2 linked regions of the Coturnix japonica genome follow. The protein of the gene in region 1 interacts with the protein of each later gene in a pairwise test. Links are inferred from orthologs where the notes say so. Each region holds a gene or a part of one and is shown on either strand. Other genes may lie near its edges. The genes, in order: RPP30 and RPP14.

The links.
Region 2: the proteins of RPP30 (region 1) and RPP14 interact in binary tests that used the Homo sapiens proteins (3 or more experiments, as listed by UniProt). The link is inferred for Coturnix japonica from reciprocal best matches to the Homo sapiens genes RPP30 and RPP14.

Annotation. Positions count from the first base shown.
Region 1 is NC_029521.1:17,047,334-17,051,710, forward strand, and holds the start of RPP30 (ribonuclease P protein subunit p30), read left to right. Parts: upstream 1-1,577; 5' UTR 1,578-1,863; coding exon 1,864-1,945; intron 1,946-2,716; coding exon 2,717-2,772; intron 2,773-3,079; coding exon 3,080-3,136; intron 3,137-3,411; coding exon 3,412-3,486; intron 3,487-4,026; coding exon 4,027-4,098; intron 4,099-4,377. UniProt on the Homo sapiens protein: Component of ribonuclease P, a ribonucleoprotein complex that generates mature tRNA molecules by cleaving their 5'-ends. Also a component of the MRP ribonuclease complex, which cleaves pre-rRNA sequences.
Region 2 is NC_029527.1:9,298,562-9,302,795, forward strand, and holds RPP14 (ribonuclease P protein subunit p14), read left to right. Parts: upstream 1-1,734; 5' UTR 1,735-1,783; coding exon 1,784-1,869; intron 1,870-1,942; coding exon 1,943-2,027; intron 2,028-2,089; coding exon 2,090-2,166; intron 2,167-2,617; coding exon 2,618-2,696; intron 2,697-3,050; coding exon 3,051-3,107; 3' UTR 3,108-3,141; coding exon of another isoform or gene 3,142-3,657; 3' UTR 3,658-3,704; downstream 3,705-4,234. Other genes in the region: HTD2 (hydroxyacyl-thioester dehydratase type 2, mitochondrial), read left to right, coding at 3,142-3,657. UniProt on the Homo sapiens protein: Component of ribonuclease P, a ribonucleoprotein complex that generates mature tRNA molecules by cleaving their 5'-ends.

The sequences.
Region 1 (4,377 bases):
GCCTAAACAAAAATGTCAACATCCAAGTGGTTGATGGGGGAAATAAGGTTGCACACTGGTCTGCGTAAGTAATTGATGATATGTGATGCTGGGAGGGCCATCACAGAAATAGGGTTCTGAAGGATGATCTGTTTAAGTACTCTCCATTTTAAGTGCCTCGAGAAAAGGTTTGTTTTGCTTGTCTGTTGCCTAAAAAAAAAAAAAAGCTGCTTAATCTTGTTTAATGTCTCTGAACATTAGTCCAAAAGAGATGTTCAGAAATAATTGATACATATTTATGGATTTCTTCTCACATTTATTCAGACAAATTAAATCAAGTTCCATCATACACTGTCAAAAAAACCAAACAAACAAAGAAAACAAAAAAAACACTTGAAATAATGCTTTGAGTTCTCCCATGTCCACACACTTCACAGAAAAGCCTTAAGAAGACCATTTGATTTGGGCTGTGTGTTCAGATATTTGGCAGAGAAGCAGCACTGGCTATTCCAATAGGAAACATGTTAAGGGCACAGATAGGCCAAAGCAGAATTTGCTGAAACATAGGAAACGTAGGAGGAAGGAACATCTTCCAGGGAGACCTGGATAGGCTTGAAAAATGGACCCACAAAAACCTAGTGAGGTTCAGCACAGCCAAATTCAAGGTGTTGTATTTGAGCTGGGGCAACCCCAGACATTCAGACTGGGAGAAAAACTCACTGAGAGCAGCCCTGCTGAGGAAGACTTGGAGACTTGATGGACAAAAAGTTGGATATGAGCCAGCAGTGTGCACTTGCAGCCCATAGAGCAACTGTATTCTGGGCTGCATCAACAGAGGGGTGGCAGCATGAAGAGGGAGGTGACTGTTTCACTCTGTACTGTCCTTGTGAGCCCCCACCTGGAGCACAGTGTCCAAGCCTGGGGCTCCCAGCACAGGAGTGATATGGAGCTGTTGTGATGGGTCACAAGGATGGCCACGAAGGTGCTCAGAGAGCTGGAGTACTTCCCTGGAGATAGGTTTGTTCAATCTGGGGAAGGCACCAGGGAGATCTCGTTGCAGCCTTTCTGTGTTTAAAGGGAGCTTATAAACTCTTCGGCCTCAGTGTGCCAAGGAGCAGTGCTGTGGGCAGGGACGTGCCTGGGAGCTGTGGGCATTGCTGGAGCAATTCTGCCTGGTTAAGGGTTTAGCATTCCAAATAACCCACTGAACCTCCAGGCTCAAGGAAGTGGAAGCAGAGGGCTTGTGAGGCCTCCCAATACCACCTTGATGATGTGAAGAAATCACAGCCTTGCTTGTTTTAGCAGCTGCTGTAACTGTCCCAAACAGCAACAAAAGTGGTCATTACCACCTGTATTTCACATATGTGCTGATTAGCAGCAATAAAATGGGTGGGTTTTTCAACAGTGCTACAGAGTCAAAGCATGTTTGATTTGTGGTCTCCTGGAATTGTTCATCTCTTTTGCATTTTAGGGAATATCTCTAGAGAAGCTGGGACTAATCAACCTAGGATTTTATTTCACATTTTTTAGTTAACGCAGGAAAACGATGGCCTTAACTAGGAACGGTTCCACCCCCCCTCGGGCCATACAGTAGCTGCGCTCGGTGGGAGGCGATCCGGCCGCTAAGAGGAGCAGAAGCGCATCTCCCCCTGCTGGGCAGCGCACACACCCCGAGCTCCCGACTGCTCCGCTCGCAGCACAGCCCCCCACGGACACGTTCAGGAGCGCATAAAAGCTCGCACGCTCCATCACCCAGAGCTCCGCCTGCTGGTCCAGAGCCCATCCCGCTCCTCGTAGCAGGACTACCAGCCCCAGGTTGCTCCGGGCCGCCGGGGGCGGTGCCGGCTGCGCTCACAGCCTTCGTTCCGCCCCGTGCTGCGCAGCATGGCCGGCTTCGCCGATCTGAACGTCCCGCAGGGCGCGGATAGGAAGGCCGTGCAGAGCGTGCTGGAGGCTGCGGCGAACCGTGAGTCGGGGCTGGGAGCGGGTGGATGTGTTGTTGAGGATGGGGTGGCTGTGCTGGAAGGCGGCGCTGGCTGAGGGCTGCAGCAGCGGCGTGAAGGATGGAGAAGCGGGGCTGGACGGGGCGGAAGCTCCATGCGCCGGTCCTGCCCTGCCCAGCGAGGGCACGGGGTCTGTGCTGTGCCTGAACAGCGCTGTTATTATCTCCGGTTACTCTCCAACCTCTGCAGAGAACTTGTTCCAGGGTTACTGATCTTCAGCACAGGCTTTATGGCTTTCTCTAGTCCTGTCCACCACGGCAGTCTTTCTGTTTGTATCACCCTTCAATCGTGGTCACATCTCCCCTCATAATGCATCTTCCAGTCCGCTGCTGCAAGGCGCAGCCTTCGTGTCGATGCAGAGCCGGGACCTGGCAGCCTGTGGCTTACCCCACTACCCCAGGCTCACAGCCACACCTCAGCCTGCCCTGCTGTACCCATTAGGTAACCGTGCATCTCTGTGCGTACCCCAGCACTGGCCGTGCACAGTCCCTTGTCCTTGTTACTGTCAGTCAGTGAGGATGTGTTGTAAAGGCTGGCTTGTGCTAAAAGAAAAAATTGTACTCTTAAGACACATCTTTGAGTTAACATTGAGCAAAATTCACTGTGAAAGGTAAATGTGCACATCGTTATTGATTTTGAGATATTTAAATAATGAGCATGTGACAGTTTTCTCCTTGTGTCTGTTTCCATTACTTGCTGATCAAAGCAGGCTCACAATGTGTTTTCTTTTTTAGTGGGATATTCTGCAGTTGCTCTTAATCACGTCATCGATTTTAAAGAAAAGAAACAGGTAATTTCAGTTCAGCTTCTTTGTTGGTGATGTGTTTGCTCTCGTAAATCTCTGTGCCACTCCTCTATCCTTTGTTTTTACGCACTCACCTAAATGAAGGCATTTGTATTTATATTTATAACAGAACTCTGATTTTATAAGCCTGTATTACTGCCCTGGAGTTAATTTTTACTATGGTCTGTGAATTGTCCTTAGGAAATATTTTGTTAGTATGTTAAGCTTATTTTTGGAGTTGGAACACAACTTCTGTGTACATTCTAAACATCCCTGTTGTATTTTGGATAACTTTGTTTTGTTTTCTTTTAAGGAAATAGCCAAGCCGGTGTCTCCATCAGAGCTGTTTCCATCTTTGCCTATTGTGCAGGTGTGTTTATTACGTTCCATCTATGTGTTGTTACACTGAGCTGCAATTTTTCCTTTCAGTTTATCCACTCCTCAGAGAAACACAGTGAGCCCTTCTTTCTGAAGGGCAGTTACAATATATATGTTTTATATTAGGGAAGCATAACTACAGACTTCCAGAAAATTATTATAGGCAAGAATTGGTGCAAGGCACAACTTTCTTTTTATAGTAGGCAGGGTGAAGGTTGCCACAAAGTTTGTCAGCTTTTAAAATCTTATATTATTTTTCCATCATAGGGGACATCTAAAAGACTTAAAGTCTTAACCCGGCTGACACTTGTTGTTTCTGATCCTTCCCACTGTAATCTCTTGGTAAGTACATTCAGTGTATCTGCTTGTTTGTTTGTTTGTTTTAATTTAATTTTCTCAACGAAAGAATGACACTTTGGGAGTTGTGTATTGGATTTAATGGATTTCATAGGATACTCAGTACTGATTTCTCAGACCAGATCTTTAGAATCTGAAGCATCATGACCCCTCACGCAAGTGTCTGTGAAACAGAACGTGATTGTGCTGATCGCTTATTAGTATGGGGTAGCAGTTCTGTTCCTTTATTCTTTTATTTGAATTCTGGACTTCCATGTGTACACTAGAATACCAGGAGGGAGACCAGTGTGTGTTTGTGGAGCTGTGTGCTTGAGACAAAAGGTATGTGAGTGGATGGGACAAGCCTCAAAATGACCTCAGAGAATTGCTCACAGTAGAGACCTACTATTTAATTAGATTATCGTCTTTGTTTTGGTGCTTGAAAATGGTGAGGAAATTTTCTCATTATTATTTTGGTTATAATCATTGTGTGTATGCTTGTCACCTGCCAGAAGTCAAGGTAGTAATTATTTCCTCCTTTTGTAGAGATCTACATCTGCAAATATAAGATTGTATGACATCATAGCTGTATTTCCAAAGACGGAGAAATTGTTCCATGTAAGTACTATCTGTGAGTTGTCATAGAGCTGGCACTAACCATCAGTGTCTTGGAGTGCTTTGAGTGCATGCTTTGTTTTGTTTTCCATTCTATATAGCCATGTCATGGGGCTAATTAAACAATGTAGGTTCTCTGGTCAGCAGCAGGCAGACTAAAAGATTGGGAGAAATCCTAGAAGGGTAAAGGGCCTTGATGTGATCAGTTGGTCCTAAACGTCTGCAAGTGGTCTGACTGACTTGCTTTCAAATGCTCAGCTCAACTTCTTGTCAAAATGCTTT
Region 2 (4,234 bases), on another chromosome or scaffold:
ATGTCACAGCACAGGTTTCACAATGATTAATTAAGGATGGGGGGCAAAAACGCTCTCTTCTAAAAAAGACAAACAAAACAATGTGCAGTTTTGCACAGAGGGCAAAAAAAAAAAGAAATCCCTTTGAATGTCACTTCCAGTCTTTCTTTTCCATTGGCTGAAATGGACTCTCGTTCTTGATGTGTATTTGTAAACCGGTCTTGCCAAAATACAAACACTTTGTGTTTCTTTTCACTCCAGATAATTTCTGTTGTTACAGTTATTGCTGATCATTTCACTTCCTTCCAACCAGAGGTTTTCTTTCAAGATGCCTTCCTTGTGGATTTTCTCCTGATGTCTGCAGCACTATCCTGCTGTTCCAAGGTGGAAGAGAAAGTCACTAACCTCATCAGAGAACACTCGACTCCGCTAAGCTGGCTGGAGCTAATAATGCGTTACTAATTTTCCTCCGCTTTGTGGGGCAGGAGGGGAATTAAATTCTGCATAAAGTTGCTACCTCAAGGCTCCAAGTGCTTTGAAAGTCTTTCACTTGGGAGAATTTCATAAGACAGTTCTTACAATTGGTCTGTTCTTTTGAGTTCAAGATGTTTTTAATCGATTCGAGGGACCCTTATTCATTTTACACTTAGTATTTGATTCTCAAAGGGTGAACAGCTGCAACGTTTGATTCTTGCAGTACAGTGTTAACGTGGGAAAAAAAAAGAAGTTTCTGCCATATAAACGTATGGTTTTAAAAAGTTAAACCACTCTGGGGTTCGGCTTCACTTTTGGTTAATAAACTGACATGTTGTGTCCAGCCTTCCTGGTACGGTCTGTGTGTGCTCCTTATTGTCTGCTGCAGCTGATGTGCATCACAGTGGCTTTTACAGCAGCTAAACACGTTTCCTTGGGGTGTCCGAGCTCCTTCTGTTATCAGGGCTCGTGGAGAACAGCCCTCACCCTATTGCAGTAACCAATATGGGTTTGGATGTGACCTGACCACCACGTTTCGCTCTCCAGTCATTACATTTTGCTGTTATCTTTGAAAACGAATAGAAATTGCTGTAGATGTTATTGCTCCAAATAAAAGTGGCAGCTCAGGCGTGTGTGCCAGATAACTGGAGGAGGATTATTTGGGCTCTGTGCTGTTTCTCTGCTCTAGGAGAGGAGCACAGGATTCCTTGAGTTCTCTTGCTGCTGCATTCTGTGTGGCAAGCTGCTCTTTTTAAGCTCACTAATAATTTGATGAGACCTTTGGTACATGTTGAATGTTGGAAAACATTATTTCACATCTGCTTGTGCTGAAGCTTCGTTTAAAGCATTTGGTATTTTACGAACAGCTTTTAAGTTAGGTTGGAAGTGGCTCGGGGAAGGTGTCCATGAGGTGTCCTGCAGACTGCATGGGAGACCGGAGCATTGCCATGGTTGGAGATGAGCTCTGCTGAATGTTTACAGGGGAGGCCTTGCTGTTGCTGTTTTCTTACGGACACCTTTAAAGCACTGAAGGCTTCAGCTGATAGAAGTGTGTTGTATCGGCGTCAGCAGAAGGTGAGAGCGGGCTGCAGCAAGGAGCCCTGCCTGCCCTTCGCAACCTGACACAGCTGTGCTGTCAGTGGATGTTTGCTCCCAAGGGGACAAAATCCAAAGGTCAGATACGGAAAGCTGCCCAGAGTTCCTCTGCACGGGGTGGTTGAGGAGATGGGAACCGCCTTCCTGTGACCCACGCTGCGCCGCCAGCCCCGCCCCGCCATGTCCCCGCGGTGCCGCCGTAGTTGGGGGCGGGCCGCGCCGTCCCGCCGGGCGCATGGAGCGAACGGAGCCGCCCGTTGCCGCCTACGAGCGGCGTGTGCTGCGGAGCGCGGCTCAGCACTGCTACCTGCGGGTCCGCCTGTGTGTGAGCCCCCGCTCCCCGCCCCGCCCCTCGCCGCCCCCCGGTTCTGATCGCCGCTCTGTTTCCCCGCAGGGAGCTGCCCGACGGCGCGGCCCGGCCCGGAGCCCCGCAGCTGAAGCAGCTGGTGGTGACGGCGCTGCGGGAGCTGCACGGAGAGGTACGGGGAGAGCAGGGCGGTGCGCGGTGCCCGGCTGCACGTAACCGTGTCTGTGTCTGTAGGTTGGAGCCGCTTTGCCTGTCGACGTGTTGGCCTACGAGGAGAAAACACTGTGTGCCATCCTGAGAGTGATTAGCAGGTGAGGCGTGTGGAAGCGTGGTTGGGCCCCAGCCATCTCCTGACAATGCGATGAAATATAAAGTCCGTAAGGTTTGGTCACCACGTGCTGTAGGACAGGAGGGTCCGGAAGGAGCAAAGCCCTGCTGGAAGGTGTAAAATCAGGTTTAAATGTTGGAGATAGATGCAGGTGCTGTGGGGGAAATGGTGCTTAAAGGCACAGTAAGAATGTAAGAACAGGGCCAGTAATGTAACATGGTCACAGTGAGCATCTGCTGTATGTTAGGGACAAGGCTGCAGCCCTTACAACAACCCTTCATGACACACAGCTGTTACCAGAACTCACTGGTGACATTACAGGTTATCAAACTCCGCTTCGTTGCTCTTTGCGTAACGTGTTTTAAAAACGTTTTTGCTGCAGGAAGAGAAAGAAAAAGCAATAAATTAACGTCTTTTGTCTTATTTTCACTCAGTGGCCTGGTCAAGCTGTGGAGTGCTCTGACCCTGCAGGGCTTCTACCAGAACAGGCGCTGTGCCTTCCGGGTGCTGCAGGTAGGTGGGGGCCTCCCCTGCTGTCACTGCTGGGCTGCCTGTTTGTCTGGCACATTTCTTCCCATTTTCTCCCTTTCTAACAGTCAGTGATGGCCTCATGTAAAAACACCTGCAGAAATGTGCACCTCCAGAGCTCTGTGCTTTCCTTTCCCCCCTGAGGATTCTGCTTTAATAAGTTGTCTTCCGTGAATTCTTTGTGCCTGAAGCCGTGGCTACACAAATATCTGCTTAGTCACAGCTCTTATTTTAAAACCTACATAACGGGAGGATTAAATATTTTCACCTCTGGCTACATTTGATGATTTATTTATTTTTAATGCTTCTTGTTTTCTTGTTTTCTTCCCCCCAAACAAGATGTCTCCGTTTCTTCTGGCATTAGCTGGGGACAGCAGGGAGCTGCTCTTGGACTGAGTGCGGCTGCTTGGACTCTCACAAGTTCCTTGGAATGTTGCTTCTCTTCAGGCGTGTAATTCCTAGAGGGCATTTCCAACACAGACCTTCCACAAAGCCGGTGGTTACCAACCTGCCCTTTGCATGTCTACAGCTTCAGAATTTACACATAAAAGTGGGAGACAAAGCTGAACTCAGCCGAGTTTTTACACAGCACGATGTTGTTACTTTTTCTCATTTAACAGGTGACACAAACCCTTTGCATTTAAGTGAAGATTTTGCCAAGCAAACTAGATTTGGTAGAACCGTAGTACACGGGGTTTTGATCAATGGACTGATCTCTGCAGTTCTGGGTACCAAAATGCCTGGGCAGGGCTGTGTGTTTCTATCTCAGGACATTCGATTTCCAGCTCCTTTGTATACTGGAGAAGAAGTGACGGCTACAGCAGAAGTGAAACGACTGAGGAGCTCCATCGCACGCATTGCGGTATCGTGTCAAGTCAGACAAAGTGGGAAGACTGTTCTGGAAGGGATGGTGAACGTCATGGTGCCAGCAAGTCCCAGCTGTTGATCTTGTGTTATTTCGCAGTAAAGGCAGAAATGTATGTTTGGTTTTCATCTTTGTCACTTGCCATCTGTTAATGTGGACTAGTGGAAGTGCAGACACATAGTGCAGGACTGGCAGGTAATGTGCACTGCAGCTCTGGCCGGTGGTGCTGCAGTGTGCTGTGCTGCACTGCTGTAGCTCCTACATGTACAGAGTAGTCGGCCTTCATACGAGCAATACAAGCCTTGTTCGCACACAGCTCCCTGTGGGAGTCACTGACACACAGGGAGCCGGGCTGTCGGTTCCCAACTAGGCTCTCAGTTCTGCTGTAAGGAAATTTAACTAATATTTACAGGGGGAAAAAAAAATTGTGCAGATTTTAGGTAAGCGAGAGGAAGAGGCCGAATCTTCACTGAACTTTTCATGGCACTTTCACCACCCCAGAGCCAGAATAAGGCACGGAGCTGCCTACATGTGGTGTTAGGGCAGTGCAGGGCAGTGCGGCTGTATTTCAGCTCATGATGCGTTGATGAGGACGGCGCTTCTCCTCCGCTCCGTGTGAGGCCCCACGGGCTCGTGCCGCCCCTGCAGGCCGCGCTGC